4 linked regions of the Astyanax mexicanus genome follow. The protein of the gene in region 3 interacts with the protein of the main gene of each other region in a pairwise test. Links are inferred from orthologs where the notes say so. Each region holds a gene or a part of one and is shown on either strand. Other genes may lie near its edges. The genes, in order: pitx1, atpaf2, trim23 and arhgef3.

The links.
Region 1: the proteins of trim23 (region 3) and pitx1 interact in binary tests that used the Homo sapiens proteins (3 or more experiments, as listed by UniProt). The link is inferred for Astyanax mexicanus from reciprocal best matches to the Homo sapiens genes TRIM23 and PITX1.
Region 2: the proteins of trim23 (region 3) and atpaf2 interact in binary tests that used the Homo sapiens proteins (3 or more experiments, as listed by UniProt). The two-hybrid records come from large-scale screens. The link is inferred for Astyanax mexicanus from reciprocal best matches to the Homo sapiens genes TRIM23 and ATPAF2.
Region 4: the proteins of trim23 (region 3) and arhgef3 interact in binary tests that used the Homo sapiens proteins (3 or more experiments, as listed by UniProt). The link is inferred for Astyanax mexicanus from reciprocal best matches to the Homo sapiens genes TRIM23 and ARHGEF3.

What each region holds. Positions count from the first base shown.
Region 1 is NC_064424.1:34,450,970-34,458,469, forward strand, and holds the start of pitx1 (pituitary homeobox 1), read left to right. Parts: upstream 1-4,480; 5' UTR 4,481-4,690; intron 4,691-7,500. UniProt on the Homo sapiens protein: Sequence-specific transcription factor that binds gene promoters and activates their transcription. May play a role in the development of anterior structures, and in particular, the brain and facies and in specifying the identity or structure of hindlimb.
Region 2 is NC_064422.1:24,662,358-24,670,361, forward strand, and holds the start of atpaf2 (ATP synthase mitochondrial F1 complex assembly factor 2), read left to right. Parts: upstream 1-4,986; 5' UTR 4,987-5,223; coding exon 5,224-5,359; intron 5,360-5,529; coding exon 5,530-5,574; intron 5,575-6,785; coding exon 6,786-6,934; intron 6,935-7,029; coding exon 7,030-7,127; intron 7,128-7,269; coding exon 7,270-7,350; intron 7,351-7,450; coding exon 7,451-7,563; intron 7,564-7,826; coding exon 7,827-7,942; intron 7,943-8,004. UniProt on the Homo sapiens protein: Plays a role in the assembly of the F1 component of the mitochondrial ATP synthase (ATPase).
Region 3 is NC_064427.1:22,848,506-22,856,329, reverse strand, and holds the start of trim23 (E3 ubiquitin-protein ligase TRIM23), read left to right. Parts: upstream 1-4,805; 5' UTR 4,806-4,830; coding exon 4,831-4,920; intron 4,921-6,394; coding exon 6,395-6,557; intron 6,558-6,838; coding exon 6,839-6,960; intron 6,961-7,233; coding exon 7,234-7,512; intron 7,513-7,824. Other genes in the region: trappc13 (trafficking protein particle complex subunit 13), read right to left, coding at 571-670, 1,944-2,012, 3,214-3,298.
Region 4 is NC_064431.1:3,304,051-3,311,746, forward strand, and holds the start of arhgef3 (rho guanine nucleotide exchange factor 3), read right to left. Parts: upstream 3,018-7,696; 5' UTR 2,781-3,017; coding exon 2,746-2,780; intron 1-2,745. Other genes in the region: il17rd (interleukin-17 receptor D), read right to left, coding at 6,221-6,339. UniProt on the Homo sapiens protein: Acts as a guanine nucleotide exchange factor (GEF) for RhoA and RhoB GTPases.

The sequences.
Region 1 (7,500 bases), on a different chromosome or scaffold from region 3:
TAACCTGACAGTGACACACACTCACCTCACTCTGTTTCTTGGTTTGTCCAGCTAGAACAAGAATTGGTTCAGTATGAATTTTTACAGAGTAGCAGAGTTTGTGCAGTACATCATGCAGTGTCTTCAGGGACAATGGAATCATGATTTAGTGCATCGCTCTATACAACTGGCCTAAAATAAAAAGAAGGAAAGAAAGAGGGAAAAAGAGAGTAACATGAGAACACACCTGGAGCCAGAGAGGATTTTGAGATTCTAACAGAGCCCAGAGGAAAGGTGCTTGTGTAACCTTTGACCCCCAAACAGCCCTAATTCACCCTGAGAGCCTGGTTCTGCACACTGTTCTCCCTCTATTCAGTGTAAACTGTGGGACTGTTAGTGAGGAGCTACACTCTTAAATATAAAGGTGGTACAGATGGTTCTTTAAATAGTGGCATAGAAAAAACACTATTGGTTCCATTAAAAAAAATCTAACGTCACCAAACTCTTGCTGCTGTGCTGGGATGCTGTGTCTAGCATCCCAGCTAGAACCCTTCCAAGCTGTTGTGTCTGTTAGCATCACAGTCCAACTCTGTTAGCATTGCAACTAACCTGCTCCAAACTTTCATGCTTTCATATATCAAGATAATGTTAGATAACTTGATGCACAAAAGGTTGGAGGCCTTTATTAGTGCAGTAATGTTTCAATGTTCATGTTTCATCGTACACTCTGCCATCTTGCATACACAGTGCTGTATGTGGGCGGTCACTGTCTGGTCTCTTGGGGAGGGGCTAGGTTTCCAGAGAACATAGAGACACACACAGTGGGAGAGGCTTCATTCCGTTCTTAGGACAGCTTCACTCCACTACATTTTAAATAAAAATGTTGCTATATTAATATTTAAAAAGTCAGATTTTGTACTTTTAACATAGCAGAAGCCGTGTAGATGACTTCTCACCATTATCTGTTCTTACAAAAAAACACATTCTGTTTGACATACGTCGTCCCACACACACATATTCATTCTGACTCCAGTAAAGTGTGTGTGGTGTTTGACTGTCGGGTGTTGACCATAAACGGCGGGCTGGGGAGGATCCGCCCCGATGTTAATGATGACCCTGTTACCTCTACACTTATCTCCTGAGGCATTAGTCAACATTAGTCTAACTCTAAGTGGTTAATTATAGCTGGCCAAAATAAGTCAGTCATGGTTGTGTTACAGTCTATAACACAAATTCCACAGTTATTGATTCACCTTTTAAACCCAGTGTATAATTATGCAAATATATAAATAAAAAAAATAAAATGATACAACACAGGCTTGATACAACTTATGAAGTCATGCTCCAGTCCATAGTGAAACACAAGGCACCCTAAGGAGATGCTTGGCCAGATAGATCTTATATATTTGAAACGTTTATCACTTTTTCTTTCTCCCAAAAAAAAAACAAATCACTAGACATCCATCATCCTACAGTTTTGCCACTATCAGGGCCATAATAAATAATGGATTTATTTGCTGGATGAGGAACTCGCAGTTGAAACCAAGTTGCTGTCCGCAAAAGTACTGAGCAGTGACTAAAGGGTTCAACTACAACCCCAATCTTGATCACAGCTTTAATCCCAAAATTGCCAACTTTAACACAAACTTCAACTCAATTTCCAACTTCAACCCTGATTCTAGTTGTAACCCCAACTCCAGCCACAAACATAGTCCTATACCCAATCCCATCTTTGGTCCCAGCACTAATGCCAAATCCAACCCAGTCCTAATCCCATTCCCAAATCCCAACTCCAGCTCCAATCCTAATCATAAATTTATCCAGCTCTAATTCCTACCCTATGCCTTTCCTCATACTAATTTAGGCCTAGCTGCAATCTGCTAACTACAATCCCAATCTCATCCTTAATGCTAACTTTAATCCCAGTATTAGTCCACACCTTAATTCCATTTGCCATACCCACCCTTACCCCAGCTCTAATTTTTTATTTTTCCATTCTATTACATGCAGGTTTTAATCTTCCCCAATTCAAATCCAACCCCAAACCTAATTCCACTCCTAATCCCAATTTTTCACAGCTCAAAAACCATACCCCATCTCACCTGTAAATATGTTCCCATCTCTAACATCTAACCCCAATCACAAACCCTCTAACACAGTACCAACTCCAGTCCTGAACTGAACTCCAATACCAGTCCAAACCCGAACTCCCAGCCCAGCTCCAAACAAACCCTACTGTATCTGACTTACAGAACCCTGTGTGTGTATCTGTGGTTCTGCGCTGTTCGTGTAGCAGAAGAAGTGGGTCACAGCGCGTTTAGAATATACACATGAGGGTGTTTAAATTTAAGTTTGACTGCAGATTGATCGGAACCCTTCAGCCGCTCATGTCCGTAGCCGCGCTGTGGTTTATAATAATGCTGGAAAATTAACCGATCAGACGATCACGGCAACTGTCACTAAAAACTGCCATAACAGGGTAGACTTCAAACTAAAACAGGTAACATTAATAAAATACTTTTCATATTTATAAATTAAAATAGTGATAAAATATAAATCTATATGTAACACTTTATAAAGTAACTAAAGGTTTAAACAATATTTAACTACACAGTGTAAATATTTAACAGTAAACAGTTATTATACGGCACAAAAAACATTTGTAGATCCTATTTATTTTCAAGAGTATAATTTAACAGTAAACCCTGCATTTAAAGTTCAATCATATAAAGCAATAATAATAATAATAATAATAATAATAATAATAATAATAATAATAATAATAATAATAATAATAATAATAATAATACACTAGTATCCCCATCATAAATAAGAAACAAGAAACTCTAAATACATCACATTAGTACATAAAACAAATTGAATTCATACAATAATATCAACTATTTCAAACAGAAAATAATAATGATTAAAATAATAGGAAAGTGCCCTGCGGGATAATGTAAAGTTATCTGTATAGTTAGGGAGGTGTAATAGGAATGTCTGTAGATTTAAGGAAGGGTAGGAGGGGGTTGCTGTTTATTGGCTTCTTCTTAATCCCGCTATTAAGCGCGAGCTTCTTAAAGGGGCTGATTGGATTTAAGATCAGTATCAAACACTGTGCTCATAACATACAGCCCTATCCGACCATGACCACCCCCCCACCACTAACCAATAATAATAATAACAATAATAATAATAATAATAATAATAATAATAATAATAATAATAATAATAATAATAATAATAATAATAATAGCTGTTCCGTTGGGAATAAATGTGCTCAGTATGTTTATTATTTAAGATGAATCTGTCTTTATTATGGTGTGTGTTATAAGATTGATATTGGTTTAAAATTCAGCTTCGTGTTTTAGAACAGCGCGCGCGGCTGCGAATTTAGCTCTACAACAGTATTAAATATAAATAAATGAAATATAAAAATGCTTGATTAATATGTATTAATAAGAACTGAACCGTAACTAAACAATTTTAAATGAAATTGTATTAACATGTATTTAAACGGACTAGGAAAGAATTTCTACTTTACAGTCCCTCTGTTCTGAGGCACTCCAGTTTTATCAGTTTGAATACAGCCTACTCAAAACGGAGCGAAATGTCTACATCACCCCCCCTCAGCACCACCAGCTATAGGCTTAGTTCATCTAGAATCCCACATAAACGCCAACCCTAACATTAACATCAACACTAGCGCCATCAATTAACATTAACTTGCAAAACCAAAATCTGCACTAGCTCCACCTATAAAATCAAACCAACACCAACAGACCACCAAAGCAAACCCTAACATCAACAATAGCTTTATCAAAATTAACACCAGCATCTAAAAAACACATTTAACATTAAAACTAACATCAAATCCAACACTAACACCATCTATAAAATACCAGAGCAATATCATTTATAGTAACATAAATAGCCAATACAATACGCTACCATTAACCATAATATTATCAACGTATTATTCAAATGTTAACCATAAGCACAAATTTTAGCACCAAACCAGCATCAGCTTCAACACCAAAGCCAAAACTAACACCATGTATATAGCTTCAATACTAAAACCAACAGAATAAACAATTTTATAAAAAGCCAATGCACTCAACTTTCAACACTTAAACCACCAACATGCTACCACCACATCCAAAACCAATAGTGATGCCATCATCACTTAAACGTCAGTCTCAACCCAGATATTAATCAGATCTTCTTAAGTCTACTCTTGGGCTATACAGCATTTTAATTTAGATTTCTATAAAATAAAAATATAACCTACGACTTGAGCTTAATTCCTGTCTGGGAAACAGACCCTTAAAGTTTCCCTCAGCCACAAACCTAAACTCTAGTACCTAAACCCTAAGACATACACCCTAAACACCAACCCCTAGACCCTAACTATCTCTCCGCACTGGTTGCTCGGGACAGCTTTCCTTTCCGCTCAGACGCAGGAGTGACGTCACGTGCACGCTGGAGTAGCCGCTTAGAGAAAAGCCCAGAGAGGCGCGCGCAGCAACCAAAGCGAACAGAACGCGTGCGCTGCGGGAGATTTACACATCTATACACACATAACACACCGGCTTTTCACAGCATCACACACACGCACCTTATACATACACTTCTGCACTTTCCGGAGCTCTTAGCGCGTGCGGAAGCGCGAGCTGCATGGGGACAGTCTAACCGGCGGAAGGATCGCGCGGTGAGTGACTTCTGCTTTTTTCCGCGTTTCACGAGCCTTAACCAGAGCAGGGCACGAACTCCAGTCTGTACAGCGCGATGTGTTCGGTGTCTGTGTGTGTGATTATGTTTTGGCACCCTCGCTGTGGAATAGCTTGTCTTTTTTCAGAACCGATTTTACCTGCTGTTGCTGTTCCCTGCGCTGTCCTAAAATTGCGCGAGCTCGATAATAATTCATGCTAAAATTAATTGCAAAACCGACTGATTTGCATCAAATGAAAACAACAGAATTACATAAGGAGATATTTGTACACATTCTGGCAAGGGCGTGCATGGGTGTTCATGAGTGTTTGTGTGTTTTATAGCGAGCCACATACTGGAGCTTTATTAGCCTCATAAAAGAACGCGGCTCTGCAGATACAGATAAACGTGAAGATTCCTTGAGCAGGTTTTTTGTTTTCGATGCTTTTAATTTTCTTGCAAATATGCACACAAAATATTACACCCCAAATGGTGTTCTTCTATGGTATCGCTGAAAAATCTTTTGTAACATCTTTTTCAAACAGCAATAACAAAGGAAACCAATTCAAACAGCAATAACAAAATCAAGCACAAGAAAAAAACATGCAAAAAAGTTTATTGTATAATTCAAACTATATTTAAATAAAAAAAACTTCAATATTTCAATATTTCATTAAATACATATAAACATATATAGTATCGTTGACAGAACAATTTTATCAGCTTTATTTGAATTATGTTAGGAATTTAATTTAAATAGCAATTTAAATACCACTAACAAAATCGCGCGTGAGAAAGAAGTGTGCAAAAATAGATCCGCGAGGCTTCGGTGGTGCAGCATTGATGGTAGTTCAAAGTGAGTGTAGAGAGGTGTGTGTTCAGGAGTGTGTGTGACAGTACTGGTAAAAGCCTTTATTCATTTATCTCGTTTTGTCAGAGAGCTTGCTTTGAGAATGAGCAGCAGGCCACAAGTAGTGAAGCTGCATGTGCGCGCGTTTCTAGACTAAAATGAGTTGAATATAAAAGTTCAAATAATAAGCAAAGAATAAAAACAGCAGATTAAAAGGGCTTAGGTACTGGGGATTCTTTTTTAACGCCATCGTAGCTTTCTGGCGAAGAGTATGACATACAGAAGTGTTTACATTTTTTAAAAAGTGGATGCAAATATATATATTTTTTATCTCTTTTTCATTGGACACGTCTTTTTTTAAATTAAATGTTCTTTATTTATGAAAGAACCCTGTGTAGCACCTTTTTGTTTGTAAGAGTGTGTGCCACAGTAAACCAATACCACCAAAGTAAACATAACCTAAACACAGAGAAGCATTTTTAAAAGCTAAAAACTTACCTAAAAACAGCACACATCACTGCTACAAAGGTGAAAACACTGTGGAAAGTGTAAATCGATATAAAGTGGTGCTGAAGCGAGCGTAGCTAAAGTTGGTACTGAATCAAAAATCTAAAAAACTCGGACAGTTCTCAAACTCTCGGAGATTTTTTATTAAAAATGAAACGCTAAACTAATTATACTCTTGAAAATAAAGGATCTACAAATGGTTATTTGTGCCTTAGAATTACTTATAATAACTCTACAATCCTGTAGAGGAACTTCCGTATGCTTAGTTCTTATTTCATCTTTCTAATACTAACTATACATTAATTCTATATGTAACATAGTCATTTGTTTAATTGAACAGTGGTTATCCAAGTGTTCGATTCAAATGACAAAATAATAATAATAATAATAATAATAATAATAATAATAATAATAATAATAATAATAATAATAATAATAATAAAGGCCTGAAGGTGTGTTTAAATCTTAGATTTTCAAACGTAAAATCGTGAAAAAGTATATAGTAAGAAATATCCCATAAGAAAAGTTTCAAATATACTAAATAATAATAATAATAATAATAATAATAATAATAATAATAATAATAATAATAATAATAACAATAATAATAAAATTGTCAGGAAGGATTAAATTGTGTTTGACTCTATTAAATACAGTGATACATCACTGGTTTTATTTAAAGAGCCCTTCAGCTGATCTATACACACTCAAACAGCACTCAGACACGGCAGGGTGAAGGTGAGGCTCATGATGAAGGTTCTGGGGGGGAGCTGGAGTTGGGGTTTTGGATTAGGTTATGGTTGAGAGCACGGTCTATCATACTGCCGTTATCAAATATTAGAATGTACACAATAAAATACAACTATTCCACACGGTTGAAAGGACTGCTTCTGGTCCTACCGGTCAGCAGTCCAGACTAAATGGTGGTGTTTTGCGGTAAAAGAGCTGTAGTTCAGACACACTCTCTCTCTCTATCTCTCTTTCTCTCTCTCTCTCTCTCTCTCTCTCTCTCTCTCTTTCTCTCTCTCTCTCTCTCTCTCTCTCTCTCTCTCTCTCTCTCACACACAGACACACACACACTCTAGTTATGTAGTGTCTCTCTTTCAGTGCAGTGTTGCCGCTCCGGTTTATAATTCAGTGCGGTTATAAAACACCAGCCCAAACACGGCGTTAAGCTAAAGCCTGTTGACTAAGGCCTAAAAGTCTGTGGTAGTACGGGAACTAAACCTATATATAAATCAAGTTTAACGTTTAAGTTAAATTATTAAAAACGAATTGATTTTATCAAATCTATCATGCACTTAATTGAGCGGTTTTCCAGACAGGCATTTAGTCTATTCTAGGACGAAACAGCATTTTGAATAGAGATTTCCTTTAAAAGGAAAATGCAGTCTACGACTATGCCTAATCCTTGGAAAGTGCCCCTAAATGTAAAATGCATGCAGTTACTGTTT
Region 2 (8,004 bases), on a different chromosome or scaffold from region 3:
TGAAACTATAACACTGGACAGAATAACGCTACAATAAAACAATCAAATTATTGGCTGGGTTTTCACACTATTATTAAGGACACCCTGCAGAAAAAAACATTATTAAGCTGATTGTGTTTGACCAATAGGATAAAACTGAATAACCAGCATGAACAAGCCTGACCACAACTAAACGCAACACACACTAAATGCGATTTCTAAAATCTCACTTTTTTATTACCTAAAATGCAGTTTTTGTGTAGATGCCAGGACAAAATGTATACAAAATGTGTTTTTAATATATGGATTCATGCGGATGGGGTCTTAGTCTTAAACTGGAATTTTCAGCAGGCTAATTGTAGATTTTAAAAAAATATGTTGGTGTGTTTCATTTCTAGGAAGAACACATTAGATCAGCATAATAAAAAAACGATGGCAAAATCACTGTACTGGTGCACTATCACACTTTCTCCTCATTTATACACATGGATTACTGATATGCTTGTGTGATGTGGCTGTACTAAACTTTGACCTATGAATGTACCGTTAGCCATTTCTAACAGATCACCGCCTTACAAAAAAGTACAACTTGGCAGTTTCCTGTTAATGAAGTCAATATGGAGTCAGTTACCATGTTTATGATGTCTTTAACTGTGTTTGTTCACTGGCAAGTCATCAACAAATTATGGTCATATTGATTCTGTTGAGCAACCAGTTTATTTAATTGGCAGATTCTGAAATGTGTGGATTGAGCAACACAGCCATTAAAGGAAGAGAAGGATTTCAGAGAGCAGTAAATGCAGAAGTCAATACTGAGTATTTTATAGCAGTTAAAGGAAAAATATCTACTAAATCAGAAACTAAAATACAAACAGATTTCTGCTCTGTGATGGACAATTCAAAGAAAAGCATACTGGCTGAAAAACTGGTGTTAAAAGGGTGCCAGAACTTAAACTTAGCATGTTTCATTAGTGTCTGATTACACATGTTGATCGTTTTATGAGTTGGTAAAGGAAATAAATACACATATTGGTCACTTTAAAAAGTTGTGCTGGCTGAAACACTCCTTATAACTTTAGTGTGAATGGGTGGGCATAACTGTAGGCTAAACAAGCAGAATTATTACAAGTATGTGTGATTACAGACACAATTATTTAAAAATTAGTAATTTCTCTGTTTGTGTGAACATATATAAATGGAGATAAATTTATACTATAAAAAAAACTACATACATACTTCAATTATAAGATTTCAGTACAAGAAAGTGCCATAACACTGCTGTCTCTTCATTAAAAACTGCACAGTGTAATATATAATACATAATGAGAGTAGCACTGGAATAATCACAAAATTGGTTACAATGTTTTATTTTTATAGTGATTAAACAAAGATATAATACTCAATAAAATCTCTCATACATTTAAATTCAAATCTGTGTAGTTTTGTCTTGTGGACTGTGGACTTCTTTTCAATGTCATTAGACAGCTCAGCACACTTATGCTATCCATACATTACTTAACTCTCTGAAAAGACTTTTAACAGACTAAAGTCTGACACCCCCTCACATCTAAAGAGAAGTCACAGACTGTTTAGTCACAGACTCGTCACAGGCTAAGATTTTGCAGGGGGATTACTGGGGATCACTAATTGCAAGACTGCAACTAGATTCTTTCTAAGATTATTTCCCATCATGCTTCTGGTGGAGTTTACATACAATACATATTAGAAATTAAATTACAAATAATGTGTATATCAATCCTGTGATTTATTAGAGACTTTCAACGTTTGCCCCCATCAACAGTTAATTTTTATTAGTTCTGGATATTTTTTTACTATAATAAATTTTGTGTTTAACAACTGCCGATAAGTTTATTTTCCCCATTTTTTTCGACAAACTTGTATAGCAAAGGATCACAGTTTCACGGCTATACATTTGGCTTTGTTTAAGATAGAATTAATGCAATAAAGAACATCATTCTTGAAAAATGTGTATTTATTGAACTTGTTTGTATCACAAATAACACTGCACAAAAATAACTGTGCAAAATAAAATAACTTTAAACATAATGACTTTAAAGTGCTGCCTGTGTTTAAAATACACTATATATTAAAGTAAAAACCATATAAGGCATATTAATTGTAAAATGTGTTCTTATTCAAATTGTTTCTAAATAGTCACAAAGAATATTCTTCCTTTGCAGTTTCCCGTAGCTCTCCTATTGGTTGTTGACATTGTTAAAGTCACTATTTGCATGAGCCAAGTCTCCAGACTTACGATAATATTAAAAATATTAAACCACCAGACGCGAGCATGACTGACTAAAACTTTCAATCCTAACCACACTGAATGATTGAGATGACGCGACCGTGACTCGACTGCAGCACGACTCTCGTGATTTTATCTAAGCAACAGATGGCTGCAGGAATACAAAGGATGAAACTTATTCCCTTGAAGACAGTACTAGCACTGAGACAGTTGGGCCCCTCATATGGGCCCCACATATGGATGTCAGTGATGGGCCCCATCAGGGCACGAGATGCAACCATGAGGGGTTTAAGCATGGCCTTATCTGAGTTGTACACTGAAAAATTTAGGTAGTGCGGTAATTAAAATTAGTTTCCTTATAGCTATGTACACTATATGTTAATGCAATATAACTGTAACGAGCAAGTGACTGCTCAAACGGGCCTGTGTGTGTGTAAGAGGTCAACCGGCCCTGGTCTCTTGAGGACACTCAAGAGTCTTTTTAATTAACAGATCATCAGGCCAATAATAGGGAGGCACCAGCCTCCGAGGTCTCGCTTCAGAAGTTAACAATTTTTCCTTGTATGCTGGCCAATAGCTCGTTAGCAAGATAGATAAGAGCGAACGAGGCAGGTGAGGTCTTCTGAGGACGCTCAAGCTTGCTTTTAATAAACAGATCCTGACTTGACATAATGACGAAACCGAAGGGGTTAAGTAAGTGGAGCCTGAAGCCCACCTGTGTCCCAGCCCACTGAGAATGGTCAACCATTTTTTTTATGCATAAAACCTAATGTTTTTAACTCTTTAAATCAGAAGACTTCCGGTTCTGATCTGCTTTGTAAGATTGAAACTACCTGCTAAATAAAGCTGTCTTCTCCTTTCTTTTAAAATTGATTCTGTCTGATTTTTAGTTTTGGTTTTATTTTTCAACAAAGTTGTACTTTTAGAAGAACCTAGACAATTTCAACAAGATGTGGTAACCATCCCAAGAGACGTATTTAGACACGTCAGTAGGCTGTAAACTCAGCAGGGCTCCAGTAAATAAATATACAGTATATGTATCAGTTCTGCATTAAGAACAATGGACGATAATGTGAGTCACCTAGTATGGGAACACATTGTTGTTTGTAGATCAGTTATAACACAGATATATTAAACAGTTTAACAAACAAAATATTTTGCCGATTTGCACAAATTCCTTGGACCTAATATTTTGTGTGAGCATAGAAGATCACTTTGTTTTATACTAGTCTGCAGGACGTCTGGAGGGGAGTGTGAGCATATGTACGTATGTTTGGAAAGTTGTCTTTTAATGGAACAGGAAACAGCTGACAAGCTGAAAAATTATGTCATGAGACCAGATGATGAAACTTATAGGAAAATCTATCCATATTTATAAGAACTAGCGTTTCCTCTGAAGAGATTATTTTTATAGGTTTTCCACTGAAGTATCTACTGACTTGAATGACTGGTTTCCAAAAACCTAAAGAATGAAGTGTGGTAAATCTTGTGGCAGACATGCATCCTTATTTGTGGCTACTGTTGCAAAATGAGTGAATCATTTAAAGTGATAGCTTTCTTGAGGTTTATTCACTCTCACCTTTTTTTCTGGACATGGGAGTGCTTGCTTCAGTGAGTTTGGTTTGGTATGTTCAGAGAAGAATAAAAGCTGTTTTTGAACCCAGCCTTGGTCCAGAGCACTGATCTTGGACTGGGGTTCGCTTCAGGTTGACACTAGCATGTTCCACTCCAGGTATGGGAGTTATCTGCTCCTGGGGCTGCGTGATTGGTTCATTTTGTTATGTAACTGCTTCCACTTATCGCATTACTTCCTTCTCCATCAGTATGTGATAATTAAATCACTTTGTTATGACAGGAGCTAGGGAATTTTCTTTAGCTCCTGCTTGCTGAAATGCTGCACATCCCAAAGGCACTGTTTGATGCTGCTTGACTTTTTGTATTCAAGGCAATTTTTTTTTTTTTTCAAAAAAGCATGCACACAGTGAAGTGATGCATGGAATTGTGTGCTTCTGATGGAATTCTTGTGCATAGACCAGCGATAATGAGCTCTTCCCACAAAACAGGCACAGAATAGGTACTGGGTGTAGAGCCGATGAATCACTAATAAACTGAACGAGTCAGTAGCAGTGTAAAGCACCCACTCAGTCAGGTTTCTGTTTAGCTTTCTATTTGCGTGTGTATGAAACGAAAGCGAAGACAGCACTTTTCTAAAAAAAAATTCTAAGAAAAATTACTGACTTAGAGCCAAAACACACTGTTAGCATGATAGCATGCTAATAGACTGTAAGCCTAGGACTCAAACGCCAAGCCAATGTTTATACAGTTTTTTTTTTTGCAGACTCTGTTAAGATCTGTTTTATAGCTAAAATCTTTAATATCTTATGATTATTTTATTTATTTATTTATTTATTTATTTACCTTTTCCCCAATATATGTTCGAGTAGAGTTGTAAGGGTGGGCACGATTATGTTGTATTGTTGGGGGAAATTCCCTGTCTAATTCTTCTTCTTCTATAAAATATTAATAAATATATATTTTAAAATCTTAGAATTGTGGTTGACTACATCTGTTGCTTTATTTGAATTCAAAAACGTCTCAGAAAAGTCAGTAAAAAGTGCGGGTAGTATTTGAGCGGACGCGTACCATAAAAATGAGCGGTGTTTTGGCGTCCCCTGCTGGTATTTTTTTTTCTACAAGAGTTTCATCAGAGCAGAGACTACGCTTTGGGACTTTTATTTTGAAAATAAAGCTTTTCACGAAAGTCAACGTGAGAGGAAGGTCAGCGTGGGAGAAGTTGTATTTGCTGGCTGAATAGACTTTATACTGTGGGATCGTTTTGTTTTCATTTTAATCAGATTTTCTGCGCTATAGTGTCTAAATGGATGATTCATTCATGAGCGACTTAAGCTAAGCTAACTTGCTAACGTCTTCAGAACGTTTACACAGCAGCGACTCGTTTCCACACGTTGAGATTCGCGATGTTACCGGGTTTATGTCGGTTTCACGGGCTGGTCAGCCGGGCTCTTGTGCCTCTTGCTGGTCGGCAGGTGGAGTTAAAGTTATTGGGATGTTCAGCAAACGTGCAGAGAGCGAGATACGCCACTCCTGCGACAGGTGAGCGAATTTCTGCTTATAGACATCATATACATAAGATATCTATGGGCTCTGCTCTGCACTGTATTATTATTATTATACTGATCTCTGTTTTATTATAGTGTTCTCTTGTCACAGTGTTTTAGCTGCATTTTAAATGCCTAAAAGCGTCTAATAATGTATTTTCGCAGAGCGTAAGAAGTTTTATCGGGACGTCACGATCTCTCAAGGTGAAGGTAAGCATCACTCCACAGTATTGTACTGTATTACAGCTGAACAGCAGTCAGTCACGCAGGCCTTGCATTGATCTAATATCTGGGCTGGGTGTTGCTCAGCTTGCTTGATTTTGACATATGTAATATATATTTATATTTTTAATATATATATTTATTCCATAACCAACTGTGATGTGTGTGTGTGTGTGTGGTCAGTGTCCTGTTGGAACACACAGTTGTATCACAGCTTTATCAGTCTTACTGAGAGTTTAAGGGTATGTTTTAGGCAGCAATCTACCAGATTTCATCGTGCTACCACCACTATGCTTAACAGTAGTGTTACGCTTAGCAGTTTCATTTTCTAAACGTTTCAAGCTAAATTTTCGAAAATAGAAAATTGGCTGTAAAACTTAATTATGTCAGTTTTCTATTTGGTATAGTGAAAAGGAATTGGGGTTTCATTCAAGTTTTCTAGTTTTTCATTTTAGCATTTTGCAATCAGAATAAAAAAAATAATTAAAAAAGGGAAACTTCTCTCGATTTTCTTATTTTTCCACTTTTGTGTCTCAAATATGAAGCTTACATTTGTTACAAGATGCCAAAGTTGATTTAAAAAGTGTTTTTTTTTCTTTTCTGAAATTCCAATCGTGAGGGGCAGAGGTGAAAAATAATAAAACTATACTACACTAAATATTAAGTAATGATTTTTTTTACATTCATTTTTTTCATATAACCTCAACTGGTAAGAAAATTGAACTGATAAACATTACACTGACCTTTGAGGTTGCTCTACTCCTTCAGATTTTTTGTCTCATCTGACCCTAAAACTTCTCTCCAGGAGGCTTTTTCTGATCAACTGCAAACTTTAGATGATTTCTGATTTTGAGCATATCTTTAACAAAAGCTTTTTAATCCATTGTGATATAAAAATGTCTGTATGATAATAAAACTGGTGTTTTAGGAGCTTCCATGACAGGCCTGTGATGTTTTACAGCATGTAATATGTACAGTTGTTTGAACTGAGGATCTTGGAATCAATTGATCACATCAAGTTGATTAAATATGGAATTCAGTATTAATGTGCTGACACAACATAAATTTAGTTTGTCCCTGCCAAACACCACTAGTTAATTTGATTATATTTAGTAACTCATCGTGTAATTAAACAAAATTCATTAAAATGATATGAATATGATGTAAATGATGAATGTTTTCTTCCTTGTGATCTGCAGGAGGCCTTTATGAAATCAATCTAGACAGGAGAAAGCTGAAGACTCCAGGAGGGAAACTCTTCACTGTGCCAAATGAAGCCCTTGCTATCGCTGTTGCGACAGAGTGGGATGCTCAGAAGGACACGCTCAAGTTCTACACCATGCATCTAGTGAGTTACTTTAATTAAAGCTTAAAATGTCCGACTCTGGTGCTCTTTTGTTTGTGAAGTAGTTTATTTCAGTTGATGTTTAATGTTTTCTGTAGACCACTCTGTGCAACACAGCCCTCGATAACCCGACCCAGCGGGACAAAGACCAGATCATCTCTGCTGCACTGAAGTTTCTAGAGACAGATACAGTTTGGTATGCTAAACTTTTATTTGGAGGGTTATAAAATGTGCAAGGGCTGGTATTAATTGTTAAGCATTAACTTTGAAGATGGAAATGGATCTCTAGGAAACAATATTTTGAACGATTTTATCTGACCTTCCTGCATTCCTTTTAGTTACAGAGTAGAAGAACCTCCAGGACTTGTAGAACTTCAGAAAAATGAATGGGACCCTGTTCTGGAGTGGATTGAAAAGAGGTAAAATGTGAAAAAAACTGATAGTTATTTTTAATGATATAATAATCTTTGCATTACATTTTGCATTGTAACTGTGGCTGATCATTATTTATGTCTGTAGGTACAATGTTGTCATCGGTTCATCCTACAGCATAATGGGCCCCCAGATCCCAGAGGAGACAAAGGATACTTTTCGTCAGCATCTTAAATCTTATAACGTCTGGTCTCTGATTGGTACGGATGAGCATTGTTTTTTTTTTTTCCTCAGAATAGTGACGGGTATTATTTTTTTCTGCAAAAAGATATCTATTTGATATTTGTAATCTAGATTTAAATATATACATGCATTGTTTAACTGTAAGCAGAGTATCACACTTTTTTGCTTACGTACATTTTCAGAAATGAACAGGAGTGGAGTTATTTATATATTAATCTCTGTTCTGTAAATCTCACATTTGTCATTCCAAAAATTACTAAATGATTGAATATTTCTGCAGGGCTTGAGTATGTGATAAGTCAGCTGAAGTCTGTGGTTCTATCATTGGGGTTGATTGACAGACACCTAACAGTAGAGCAGGCAGTTCTACTGTCTCGCCTGGAGGAAGAATACCAGGTATGAAAAAATAAGCACCAATAAGCTATACATTTATAAATATAAATAATGTTTAATAAAGA
Region 3 (7,824 bases):
TATTGTAATGCACAAAAAAGGTTTGTAAACACATTTCATGTAACAATGTGTCCTGCAAATCATCAGGACATGTGTTTCTTTTTATTCATAATAATTATTGCGGCGAGGGATTGTGTACACCATTTGGACAAAATATTGGGAAACCTGCTCACTCACGGTAAATCAGGAGATTTATTAAGAAGGTTCATCTGTTTTTGTCCCTATAAGCCATTGAGGATTTTCTAGAGTTTTAAGCATTTTTGTGAGAATAAAATGCCTGCTGTATTAGAAGGAAAACATGGTGACACTCCTGTTCCTTACTAGTGTTGCATAATGTGCCCCTTATAATCCGGTCCACCTTAGGTATGAAAATAGACCAGAAAACAGACGTTTATTGATAGTGCACCTTATAGTCCGGGGGCCTTATAGTGCGAAAAATACGGTAATCAAAATTATAGACAGAAAAAATAAACATTTTAGTGTTCAAATGTTCAAATTTAAAAAGAAGTTGTACATTTCACTTTTGAGCAATAAACCAATCATCTTCACTTTAATATAATGTCTAAAACAATAAACGGTAAAACCTTTTACCCAAAATTCTGTGGTAGTGTCAGCATCTCCCCGAGCATCAAAGTCTCCGCCCCTTTAATAGTAGATGGATCTTCCCTCATGAGTCGACTGAACAGATCACCTGAAGACAAATGGAGGTTAAGTTAAATATGATCTGGAGTCACAGCAATACACTCACAACAGAGTCCAAATCTTTATCTGATTTATGATTCAGAACTGTGACCTAAGAAGGCCAGAACCTGAGCCTGATTTATAGCAGTGGAAAAGATACAGCTCTTACATTCAGAGAATTTCATGTCTGATCAGCGGCCAACCCTGCGGAGCTGTGCCCAGCGAGTGGCAGGCTGACATAGTTAAACTGTATAGTATGGCAGAGTCATCTGATACCAAGTCAAAGGCAAGGCCTGGACAAATTACGACTTTTACAGGTTACAGTATACGTTTAGCAGAAGTCTGCAATGACTAAATTAAAGAAAACAGGAGAAGGCAGAGAATGAGACAAGGCTGGCATCTACACCACTCCATTCACTTTATCTTTCTGCTCTCAGGTTCTCCTCATTCATCTTGATTAATAGTGGAATATGCTCCACTCTCATTTTGCCCCCTCATATAAATATAGGGCCTACGAAGAAGTGTCGTGATGACATATGGCTCTGGAGCGGTGCCGTTAATGGCTGAATATTGTGTTTCGGAGGTGCTGGACTGTGGCAAGAGGGAAAACAAACATTATAAATTCTTGTTGGGTCTGCAGGTTATATTCTGGGCTACAGTCATGCCACAGATTTCATTCCAATTTCGCTAACAGGCAATAAAAGTAGTTAAGAGTGGGTGTCAAATATAAAAAGATAAATATGTCAGACCTCCTAACTGTTATGAAATCACTTAATGAAATCTTAATTTGTGGAGATAGTGGCTCCTTCTGCTTGTCTTCATTGTCTTCATTATTTTGTTTCATTAATAATATTAATCTCACCTGAGTGTATATTATATATATTATATTACACAATATTGACCTGCTTTTGTTGGAGTAATTGTCTCTACTGTTAAGGGAAGGCCAGAATTGCTCCACAGCTTAATGCTAGGTGCCAATAAGATCATTTTTATCTGCTTCAGAGAGTCCTATTCTATTGGTAATCCTTCACAACACAGACTAGACAAGCTGTGTTTGTGCATTTGCACATTTGTGTCACTAATGGGTGCAACTTTATTAATTTATTAATTAATTCAAGGGTTAGCTAATCTGCCTCAGTTGTGCCTATATTAGCATTAAAGTCCCTGGCTCTTTAATGCAAGGGATTTTAAGAGAACACTTTAATTCTAATGGAAAAGTGTGAGGACAATAAAATAGTTTAAATGAACCAAACAATAGAGTTATTGTTGTTTCTTTTGTTTACCTGGAAGGTCTCTGTCTTCACACGTCACAGGCATATTAGTGAACAGTGTCGGTTTTGTCAGTCGCATCACTAGTAAAAAGAAAAATGCACATATTAATAGTAATAATGAGCACCTATGTACTGATGTTGACTTTGTAAGGTATATTCATATAGGAGCACTGTAGCTCTATTATAACAGACTGTAGTAAATATGTTTCTCTGCATACTTTAATTACTATCCTTCTTTTACCCTGTACTGTCAGGACCCCACACTGCAGTTACACTGATATATGGTGGTGATACAAATGGATCAGACACAGCAGCAGTGCTGCTGTAGTTTGTAAACTACAATATGTGGGCAGTGTCCTCTAAGAACTGACAAAGGACTAGAAGATAATCAACAGAGCTTCTGTCTCTGACTTAACTTTATCTACAAGGTGGAGAATCTTGACACTGTAGGAGTGTCTAATACAATGGAGGACAGTGAGTGTTCAAAACACTGTGTTTAAAAACTCCAGTGTTTGATCCACTCATACATCAGCCCTATACGAGCTGTTCTGTGGTGGTCCTGTGGGTTCCTTACTAGTAAACAACAGGGTGAACGAATGGAGGTGAACAAAGTGGACCGATTTGGCCAGTAGAGCTGATACAATGGACAGAACGTGTAAACATATGGGTTTAATGTAATGGCCATTTACAGTACATATTTGTATTAATTGTTTTAAGTAAATATAAGTAAAAATGATAAGTAAAATTAAAACATAAATAAAAACAGGTCATTTGCTTCTTAAAGTGCCTAAATGAAACTATTCTCAATGAAAAGCACATTTAAAAGTATCGATATACAACACATCCCTCTTAAAAAGCTTTTCTCTATTGTTTCCTTAAAAACACAGTAAACGCCACCTTATTCAGACTTTAATACTCATGAATATGCTTCATATTATTGTACTATACAGTATTACTATACAGTATCTACAGTTGTGTTTAAAAACTTCCCTGCTGACATCACAATTAGGCGTTAGCTTCTTGTACAAATTCTCCAATCCACCTTAAATAGTCCAGAGGTTACACACTGGTGCATGCAAGACCCTGCTCTGACCCGAATACAAATACTGCAGATTTAAGGTGGACCGGGCAGTTAGAAAACCAGGCCGGACTCTCAGCGCTTTCCACACTAAAGCTGTGGTTCTGAGCAGACCGGTGCTGCGAATTTTAAAGCAGCAGCTGGAGATGAGCCTTAAGATGCAGTCGGTGAGATAATGGAGCAGACAGAGAGCGGAATCTGTACCTTTTAGAGCCAAAAGATGCTCCTGTTTTGCCTGATTCACATCCATTTTGTTTGATAGTAAACCGGACTGACGTTTCCCCTGCATCAGCTGACGACGGAGCGCAGATAGGGACAAAACGCGTTTTACATTAAAGCAGCACAGGATGTTTTTATCTAGCGATAATTTCAGAAAGACATTGCTACAATTTCTTATGTAATATCATATTTGAGTAGTATTGTAAAGTGTATACCGTGGAGAAAATTGTGGTCTTTAACTTTAGAATATTTACTTTCCAAAAACGTGAGAGAAATTGAACTGAAATTAATACATAAAAATACCCCCCTGAATCTTTGATATTGAAAGTTTGATATTGAAATTAACATGCTCTTTTTTGTAAGAGGGCTTCGTTTTGGCAATGTATATACAGCAGAAAGTTTTGTTCTGAACTATTACAAATTCTGAGGATTTTTATTTTCTTTTACTTGTATTTACCTCTGAGAAATCCATTAGTGATAAGTTTTTTTATGATCAAACATTATTCCTTGTTTTTTAAGTTTGGTGAGTATATAAATATATTACTAAACATGGGGACTAAACCCCTTAACATTTGTTGATCTTTGTTGCCTCTGGACATACATTTTACATATGCTTATGTTAAAAGTTTGTATTGACATAATGAAGAGAAACATGCAAAATAATGTCTATAAAATATATATTATCTAAAAAAATATATCGAAAAAAGTTAAAGAATATATAAAAGAGACGACCTATTTACAAATGTGCACATATCACTATTAGACAAATAGAAATAATGTATCATAATACCACGAGAATACTAAATAAACGTGCATATATTTGTCATAAGGTCACCCAAAACAATGTGAAACACTGGTGAAGAGCATGACAAGACACATGAAAGCCATAATTAATAATTCGTGTTATTCCACCAAATATTGATTTCTGAACTCTTCTTGAGTTGAAACATCAGTATTGTTGTTTCTAAATAAATATGAACTTGTTCTATTTCTGAAACACTGCATCCTTTTCATTACGTTTATCTTTATTTTATTTTGACTTTCATTTTCTGCAAATAAATGCTCTTAATAACCATATTTTTATTTGGAATTTGGGAGAAACGTTGTCGGCAGTTTATAGATTAAAACAACAATTCATTCATTTTACTCAATATATACCTATAAATAGTAAAATCAGAAAAGTGACCAGTCCCAGCATCCTAGCTTCACATATGTTCCATGAAAGAGCATTAACTTATATAAATTGTTTTTTTTTTTAAACAAAACACTATTAATAGTGCATATACTGTGTATAAATCATCAGAATTACAAAAAAGTGTAATTTTTAAGCCGCAGCTACAATAAAACCTATGGAAACAGCTGAAACCTTACTGTGGATTCGTCCATTGCTTAAATAGGGGTTTAAACGCCGGCTGTAGCACCGGTTTTATAGACAATTTCAAACCTTACAACATTGTTTGCGCAATTATTTTACCATGTAAAATATTAATATACTATTTAACACGTTGTAAGCATATTTTATTGAGTTTATTGTTTCTGCTGTTATTTGCTCGTCCTCTGACTCGACCACCCCGGTTTTGTCATGGATGGTCGCGTCCGAGGATGGCCGCCGCTGTAAATAAGCAAGGAGCCGCAGCACCGATGGAGCCTTGTGTCCGGCACGTAAGGGCCACAACAGGCAATACGGTGAAGGTACAGAAGTTTATGTTAGATTTAAACTAAAGTGCAGTGATTTAGGGAGAGTGTTTTTGTGTATTTTTGTATTTTTTTTGTTTCTGCATTCGTGGTTGCAAAAAAATGGATAATTCAGGGCCAGAAAACCATAATCCACCCCAGGATTTTGCTCCAACTGTATGGGCTACTCTTCTGAACGCGGCTGCAGCAGTGCCAACGAGGCGGTTGGATTGAAATCCTGGCCTGGATTTTTGCTAACAAGTGGAATGGATTCCCCAATGTCTAGCAGATACCTAGATTAGCTAAGCTAAACCCAGTAAAATATCACAACACTACGTTTTATCCCCTGAAATTCTGTGAAACAGTGCAATATATAGCTGCACAAATGTAATTTACGCGTAATTAACAGGGTACAGTCTCTGAAAAATTGGTAGTTATTGCAAAATGCCAGCTAATATCAAGCTAGCTAGCTTTCTGAGCTAACACTACCTATCTGTGTAGGTTAACTAGAAGCCGCAAACAAACAATTGGTGCCCTCAAAAAGGATGTTAATTAGTTAACTAGGTTAGCTTGTTAAAATGTGTTCCAGCATAAATAATAATATGTGGTAATATTTCGGTGCTATTCATTTTTACATGACCTTTTATATAATGACTTGGGTATAATGACTTATCTATTGTTTTTTACAGCAACTATGTGTCCTAAAACGATTTAAATAGAGTATATTGAAAAATAATATTAAGTACCACTTAAAATTATAAATTTAATTTTACCTAATTGAAAACCTCTGGAATATAATAAAGAGGAAGATGTATGATCACAAGCCATCAAACCAAGCTAAACTGCTTGACTTTTTGCACCAGTAGTGGCAAAAAGTTATCCAAAAGCAGTGTGTAAGACTGGTGGAGGAGAACATGCCAAGATGCATGAAAACTGTGATTAAACCATGGTTATTCCACCAAATATTGATTTTTGAACTTTTAAACTTGATGAATATGAACTCGTTTTCTTTGCATTCTTTGAGGTTCTCATTTTCTGCCAATAAATGCTCTAAATGACAATATTTTATTTGGAAGAATTTGGGAGAAATGTTGTCCATAATTTATAGAATAAACAACAATGTTCATTTCACTTAACATATACCCATAAACAGCAAAAACAAAGAAACTGATTTAGAAACTGAAGTGGTCTCTTTTTTTTCCAGAGCTGTAGTTGGTTATTTAGGTAAACAGTATGTAAAGTGGTATCAAACTCTTCTTTTAACCTCTTCTGAGGGAAGGGGTGAAATTTATTTAAATTTAAATTTGTGGTGAAATGACTAGAAAAGGTGACATTATGTAAAAATAATAATAATAACTTAAAGCCTAAGAACAAGATCATAATAATCATTTTCACTTCAGCTATTAATGGCTGTGTGTGTTATCCCATGAAAACATATAGTAAAATATGTACATAAATGTAGTTTGACTTGTGAATACTTGCTGCTCCTCAGGTTTTGGAGTGTGGAGTCTGTGAAGACGTATTTTCACTGCAAGGAGACAAGGTGCCTCGGCTACTGCTGTGCGGTCACACTGTTTGCCATGACTGCCTGACCCGCCTGCCTCTCCATGGCAGGGCTGTGCGGTGTCCATTTGACAGGCAGGCCACTGAGCTGGGTGAGTTTAAACTGCTGTTATGCATTTTTAGATATGATTTGCTTTGTTTGACCGTTGGTAGCATTGACTGATTGATTTCAGACTGATATCAGCATTTAATGCAGGATAAAATATTAATAGAGTGGTTGATTATCATTGCCAATGTTTAGATGCTCATTAAGTTAACCATTTCAGGTAAAATTGGTTAATTTTAAAGCTTAGTAGGATAACTATACTAGGGCAATAAGATAAATAGTATTTTTAATGCAAAACAAAACCTGTTTCCTTTTTTTCGCGTTCAGGGGACTCGGGTGTCTGGGGCCTGAAGAAGAACTTTGCACTGCTAGAACTTCTTGAACGGCTTCAGAACGGTGCCTCAAACCAGTCAGGGATGTCGGAGGACGCACTGCGAGAGATGGGAGAGGTTGGGATCATATGTTTCTATACATATACATATAGTTCATTTTAAAAAATGTAGTTAAATTTAATTTAAAAGTTACTTCATTTCAGTAATTCAGTTCAAAATGTGAAACTCAAATACATAACTAAATTATATAGAAGTTTTACACACAAACTGATCTATTTTAAGTGTTTCTTTATTTTATTGTTGATGATTATGGTTTACAGCCAATGAAAACCCAAAAATCAGTGTCTTAGTATGTTTACATTAACATACTTCCATCTTGTTGCCCTGCAGTGCATCATACGCTGTGATGAGGACGAAAGCCACACTGCCTCAATGTACTGCACGGTGTGCGCCACCCATTTATGCGCCGAGTGCTCCCAGCTCACACACTCCACCCGCACACTGGCCAAGCACCGCCGCGTTCCTCTGGCAGATAAGCCTCACGAGAAGACCCTGTGCCCTCAGCACCAGGTGCACGCCATCGAGTTTGTCTGCTTGGAGGACGGCTGCCAGCCAGGCCCGCTTATGTGCTGCGTCTGCAAGGAGTATGGCAAGCATCAAGGACATAAGGTACTGAGGCCAGTATGATAATTGCACAGTTTGCCCTTGAAACTCTGGCAGATGTCTGTGATGAACAGCCTGTGAGAAATTTACACCGATCAGCCGTAACAGGGAAGGTAAAGGGAATAACGCTGTTGATCTGGTTCCAGTGGCAGCGGTCAAGTGGTGGGATCTACAAATTAGTAAGCGAGTGTCAGGAACAGTCAGTTCCTGATGTTGATGTTTTGGAAACCAGGATAGTAATCTTAGCCAATATGAGCAGAACCATTTTAGTTCCAAAAGAGCTCCAAAGACGTATAACTGCTGAACTTGAGATGTTTT
Region 4 (7,696 bases), on a different chromosome or scaffold from region 3:
GTAAACAGGAAGTAGGAAATAGCAGCAATATGAAATCCAGTAAAAGTGGAAAAGTGCATTAGTGCAAGTTTTCTAGATAACATAAATACATATACAGAAACAGGAAGTAAACAGGAAGTAGGAAAATAGCAGCAATATGAAATCCAGTAAAAGTGCAAAAGTGCATAAGTGCTAGTTTTCTGTAGCAGCATGGATGAGTATGAATGAAAAGCAGCAATATGATAAAGCTAATTAATTTTACAATTAATTTAAATTTAAGTTTAACAATATACTCCTGCAACAAAGTGAGTATAATTAATTAAGTTTTACTTAGTATAAATACAGTATTTAATAAAACCAGACCCTGATTTTGCACAAAATGATGATGTTGTAGGAAAATTGTGAAAAAAAAGTGAAAAATATGCAAAACGATATTTAGTGCATGCTTAAAAATGAAAAAACAATAATTAAAAATAAAAATACACTAACAAAAACTACTCAGCCACAAAAACTGCTATGTTCTGGCTTAATGATGTTTGGCTTAAATCTTCATTCTCTACAGCAGAACATTTGTACAGACATGCGACTCTATGCCGCTATGTTGTTGCACAGGCCGGGTCACAGCACCTGCTGATAAAGCAACAGGTGAACAACCGGCCCCCATAGCCGTCCCCGATCCCTCATCTGTCCTCAAAGCTTAGAGGCTCATATCTACAGACACCAATCTGCTGTTTGAACCGGAGCAGAGCATCGAGACATCTGCTGTCATATCTAAATATAAGGGAGGGTCATTTTATTTCATGTATCTGTGGTTACAGCTGCTGCGCTGAACCGTCGCAGATGCAGCCTAATCATAGAGAGCAGCCCGAAGGAGCTTAAAGAGCTTCAGCAGCCTGAAACCAAAACACACTGAGGAACCAGAGGAAGCAGAGACATGCCTGCAACAAAACCTGCTATCAGCACAGCTTCGAAAGATGATGGTGGAACTGAAACATCACAAGTCTTTTCTTCGCTGAGCCCCTGAGCTGAGCTCTCATCAGTACAGCAGTTCACACACAGCAGCATTCCTCACCGAGATGCTATGTTTGCCTCATAAAGGCCATGACTTAAAGCCCAAACATCTGACCTGAACATAACAGCAGCACAGTGCAGGCGTAAAAACAGCATAACAGTTCCTTAATGTAGAGAACACACTCTCTTCTCAGACAAGAGAAAAGCTGATGATTTAGATTGTGTCCATTATTTTATCGAACATTTATAAATATTTGCACGATCCGATATATTGTCCCAGAAGAAGATCATTTTTACGTCACTAAAAAAATAATTACGATTTATGATATACCGTCTCTCACGGGTGCCAAACACAGAACAGACAAGCGGGAACACCAAACATACAATTAATTAAATAAGGGGTCAGGCTTATAAGAATAGTCAGGGACAGGCATAGTCAATAACTAAATGGCAGCATAAACATACCAGACATACCAGAGTGATCAGGCAATGAGGTCATACACAGGATAATCAAAACAGGGCAAAAAATGACAAAAATACAAAAATAGGTCAATACTGAAAACTACCGAAAAAAAGGAAAAAGAGTAGCTTAAATAACAAAAAAAATGTGAGGTAGAACAGCTATGAAATAGATTCAACATCAGGTGAGGATAGAGTGAAAACTGAAAACAGGGGCTATTTATACTACGAGTACAGTGAGTGTGAGTAATCTCAGAAGCACGGCGAGCCAGAACACCGATATGTCACGTGATCTGGCACATCCGGAGGGATGAGCACTGGTCCATCTTGGGAAATGGAGTTTTTCGTTTTTTTTGAGAGAGCGAGAGCTAGAGTCAGTGGCAGGCAGACTGAGAGTGACAGGACTGAAACTATACCAGAAACAATCCTCAGATGGACCAACATGTGATCCAGCTTGTTAACACCCAAATATCAAGTGGTTCTTTTAGTGTAACACGATCCAAAGAACCTACTTTGTGGTATCAGCAGATACAGAAACCAGCTCAGTTGTTAAAATGATACCTGCTGTGTACTTGGGGGCATCTCAAAAATACATTTGACTATCATTGAAAGGTTAGTTTATTTCAGTAATACAGTTAAAAAAAGTGAAACTCATATATTATACAGATGTATTAAACACAGAGTGATCTATTTTAAGTGTTTAATTATTTTATTGTTGATGATTATTTATGGCTTACAGCCAATGAAAACCCAAGAAATCAGTGTCTCAGAAAATTAGAATATTATATAAGACCAATTGGTACTTTTGGCAGTGTGGGCAGTGTGCCAAGTCCTGCTGGAAAATGAAATCCACATCTCTATAAAAACACTGGAAAAACACTGCACTGACTTTGGACTCCAAACCATCACTGATTGGTGGAAACTTCACACTAGACCTCGAGCAGTTTGGACTGTGTGTCTCTCCACTCTTCCTCCAGACTCTGATCCCTTGATTTACTTTAAATGAAATGTAAAATTTACTGATGGTCAGTGATGGATTTCATTTTCCAGCAGGACTTGGCACACTGATTTTTGGGTTTTTATTGGCTGCAATCCATAATCATCAACAATAAAATAAAAAAACGCTTAAAATAGATCACTCTGTGTTTAATACATCTATATAATGCGTTTCACATTTTGAACTGAATTACTGAAATAAAGTAACTTTCCAATGCTATTCTATTTTTTCTATAGTTTTTTTAGATGCACTAGTATATAAATAAATATATATAAATAAATAAATGGTGTATATCTTACCCGGGCACTTCATTACTTCCGACAGCAGTTTGCATGGAACCAGAACTGTCGACCTTCCAGCTCAAACAGAGAAAAACACCCTTAAAAACAGGATTTCCAGTTCAGCTCTTCATTAAAGAGGAAAGTTCAGGGCTGGGAGTCAGTCCACCGGTTTCACAGCGCGAGCAGCAGCGGTAAATTATTAATTTTATTATTATAATCCCCGGTTTGTTTTACTGAAGTTTTATTATTCCTTTCTTTAGTGTTTCTTTAGTTCAGTGTCAGACTCCTCCACTGCTCCATTCACACAGCCTACATTGAGGGCGGGGACAAAGCCAGAGGCCACGCCCCTCACATGCGCTAACAGAACCGTTCAGCCACGCCTCGCTGATGCAGTAAGCCCCGCCCATGCCTAAAAAAATATAGCAGCTCCGTAAGCCACGCCCTTTGTAGTCTGTTTAATATTATACTGTAATATGTAAAATAAGAAAATATATTCTTAAAAAGCGCATAAAATTTACCCTTACTTTTGTATAAAATTATAATTTTATACAAATTATAATTACATAGTAAATAATTATATAGTAAATAATTAAGTAATTACATACATAAATAAATAAATAAATAAATGAATGAATGAATGAATTTATTAGGTTAAATGTCTATATTTATATAGAATTATAAAATAAGCCGAACGTCTATTACATAGAATATATATATATATATATATATATATATATATATATATATATATATATATATATATATATATATACTACATATATTCTATACTATATACAACACAATAATGTAGATTAAGTTAGTTACATCTGTAAGAGGGCCTTTTTTTTTGCTTTTTTAGCTTTTTTTCACTCAACTTTAATCATAAAAAACAAAGTTATATTCTTAAGTAAATAATTACATACATAAATAAATGAATTAATTAATTAATCAAGTCCAATATCTAAATTAGGAATTAGGAATAGGAAAATAACTGTAATCTGTATACTTAGTAGTTTATATACACATTGTTTTGTATATCCAGTTCTAGTCAATAGTTTAAAGACACCTTTACGCTCAATGTTTTTTTTTTTTTTTTAGTTCTCAATGTAATTTATTTTCTACATTGTAGATTAATATTAAAGAAATAAAAACAATTAAGGGACACATGTGGAACTATTGTTCAGCACCTCACTATAATATAGTAAGAGATATAAGGTGTGTCCAAATATATATATATATATATATATATATATATATATATATATATATATATATATATATATATATATATATATTTCAGATGTGTGCAGTAATGTATGCACAGTGTAGGTCAATGTGTATAAAAATGTATGTATATTATATTTACATAAGGTCTATAAGCCACGCCCTTGAATTTCCTATGTTTTCATGATGAGGTCATCACATAGCTGTTTTATAGACAATAAAATACTCACATGATTTTAACACAAACTATGTTACAGGAACCAATGCAAGTATGAGGAGTAAATATACACTGATCAGCCAAAACATTAAAACCATTAGATTCTATCTTTCCCAAGTTTAAGAACTGACCGTTCACTTGCTGCCCAATATGTAGATCAAACCCTTTGACGTGCCATTGTAAGCAGGTGGCTGCTTGATGATTACAACTTAACAAAAAAGATCTTAATGAAATTTAATGAACCTCTGCTGCCACCCAGTGGAAATGACTGCATATGTAATCTGTCAGTAAACTATGTGTTAAACAGGGTCCTAATGTAGGTCAATTCTTCAGTGTTCCTCAACTGGAAGTGTAATCTTACTTATTAAACTATAATTAATGTATTAAAGCAGACCAAGCATTGAACAATGTCCTATCCAGTGCTGTAAGATTTTGTGGGAAAGCAAAACAGCACTGACTTTGTACTTGATAATAAAACACAGTGGATCAACACCAGCAGATGACAGACATGTCTCTCCAAACCATCACTGATCATCAGTACATTTTACATTTCATTTCAAAATCAAGTTTTCAGCACTGTTTACCTCTGCTGACAACTTTTATAGAGATGCGGATTTCATTTTCCAGCAGGACTTGCCAAAAGTATCAATTGGTCTATATATATATTTTATATATTATATATATAAATATATATAATATTAAAAATTCTAAAACATTTTCTGATTTTTGAGTTTTCACTGGCTGTAAGCCATAATCATCAACAAGGAAATAAACACCCGAATAGATCACTCTGTGTTTAATACATCCATATAATATATGAGTTTCACATTTTTAACTGAATTACTGAAATAAAGTAGCTTTTCAATGAGAATTTTTTTTAATGCACTGGTACCCTAACCTTAATCTAAATAATACAAAGGAAGTCAATGTATAATGGTTTCATACTGGTAATGTAAATTAAATCTTATAATAAAAATAATAAAAATCGAACATTCTTCCAATACACAGTACTATTTAGGCCCAAAAAATGACAAACAAAAACATAAGCAGTTGGTCATAAACATTTTAGTTTATTATCACATAGTTCCTACATTAGAGTACTATAAAACAGTACAAAGTTCATATGTAATGTAGAAATCTCTAATATTAAAAAACAAAACTGTACAAAAAACACAAAAACTAGAAAAAGTAGAATTTTAACATATTGACAAAACTGTCAATCAGTTTCCTGCTCTTCCCTTTGTTCATGTAATTCATGTGATTTACGTATTAATTGTAATTCATCGCTCATTCAATATTCAATCCACGAGATTAAACACATTCTTGAAGTGAGTCCTTAGTACAACGTTACTGTAAAAAAAGGAGGAAAAAGGGTATTTTGCATATTTTGCATATTTGTTGGCACTGACTGAAGAATACAACAAAAAAATAGGGCAGAAATAACATTAATGTCTGTAATGTGAACCATCCATGAAGAACCAAATGTGAAACCATCGTTGAGAAAAGTTAAAAACCAATAAATAAAACAGTAATATAATTTTTTTTAAAAGCTCAATGATTTCCATACTTCCATATTCAACATAATAAACCGTAAACCAGCGTACAGCACGATGTCATAGATTCCAACGAGCCACAGAGTCCGACCATTGGAGGAAGTGGTGAACAGCACTTGGTTAATGGATGGATTGGATAAAATGGTTGTTTTGTGCTATGCTAACTGTCGTAACGCTTTAGTGCTAACACTACGAGAAAGAAGGCCGTGCTTAAAAACAGCACAGACGCTTTGGTTAAATAGCTTCCCCTCGCTGCATCCTCTCTTCAGCAGTCGCTTTCTCACCAAAGTCTCACCAAAGTCTCACCAAAGTCTCACCAAAGTCTCATCAAAGTCTCATCAAAGTCTCATCAAAGTCTCAGTCAACCAGCGTCTCCCCTGAGGAGAACCTGGAGGTCTCGGATGTGGATGGATGTTTTTGTAGGATGTACTGCGAGGGGTTTGTTGGCGAATAGAAACGTAGAGCAGTAAAGTGGCGATGCAAGTCCAGATAAAGGCCACTAGTTTGACGCTGCTTCTATTAGTCCTTCCATCTGCTCAGCATTGTGGTGGTGGAGCTCGGCTTTGCAGATGGTGGGGGTGCAGTGTAGAGAGCTGACAGCAGGGGGCTCCTCATCACCTAAAAACACAACAAGAAGAAAAGAAAGAAGAAAAGAAAAAGAAAGACAAGAAATAAAAAAAAGTGTCAATTTTAAAAGTGTAAAGTTTCTGGCTTGGGTCATAAACTAAAACCTAATTCATGCACAAGACATGCACATTAAGACAGAAAGTTGTGCTAGAAAATGTATTAGAATTAGAATTAATTCTGCTTATAATGAAATTCAAAGATCCGCACAACTTAATGCCATATATAATTGAAGAAGACGCTAAAATTCAGCAATAAACCAAGGTCACTACTTAATATACACACAACAACCAAGCAAACAGTACGGCAAAAAGGCAGACACAGCTAATTAATAAAAGCAGTTATCCAAAAGCAGTGTGTAAGACTGGTGGAAGGGGTGGGCGATATGGGCCTAAAATGGGCCTAAAATAATATCACAATATTTCATTGTATTTCTGTGACAACGAAACTCGCTACTGCTACAAAGTAAAAAAACATACATTTTATTATGGCATGCGATATGATATGGCACACACCCCTAACTGAGACATAAACAAATATGAATAATAAGAATTGTATCAGATTTTTGTAACAGAAGTCATTGATCCAGAATGTCATGATACTAATAATAATAATGCACTCCTCCAAATATCTCCATATATCCAGGATTAAAGTAAAATAAATGATACTGGACAGATATAATCTATAGTCTCCAGTAGATATATAATAGGAAATGAAAACAGTGTGAATTTTTTATCTTTTAATAAAAAGAGTAAAAAGAGAAAAAAAGCACTCTGATGTGATCATTATGGTACCATATTTCAGGGTATAATATCATTCACGATATTCAACAACTTTGGCGATATTACTGCATATGATACGATATGGCACATCCCTAACTGGTGGAGGAGTACATGATGCCAAGATGCATAAAAACTCTATTTAAAAACCAGGGTTATTAAACCAAATATTGATTTCTGAACTCTTTATATATATATGTATATATGCCATCCCCTCCCCTCCCAACTCCCAAAGAGCACCACTTTCAATTATAAAGGACAAATCGGTACCACTTTAAAATAAGACTACCTTTATAAAGGGTTTATAAATGGTTTACAATTAGTTTATTAATGGTGACTAATTAGGTTGTAAATGCCTTAAAATCATTAATAATCAGTTATAACACATACGTAGAAAGGGCAACAATATAGATGGCTGTGGGTTCACTATTTGGCAAACAAGAGGTCATTGTTGCCTTTTCTACATATGTGTTATAACTGATTATTAATGATTTTTAAGGCATTTACAACCTAATTAGTAACCATTAATAAACTAATTGTAAACCATTTATAAACCCTTTATTAAGGTATTC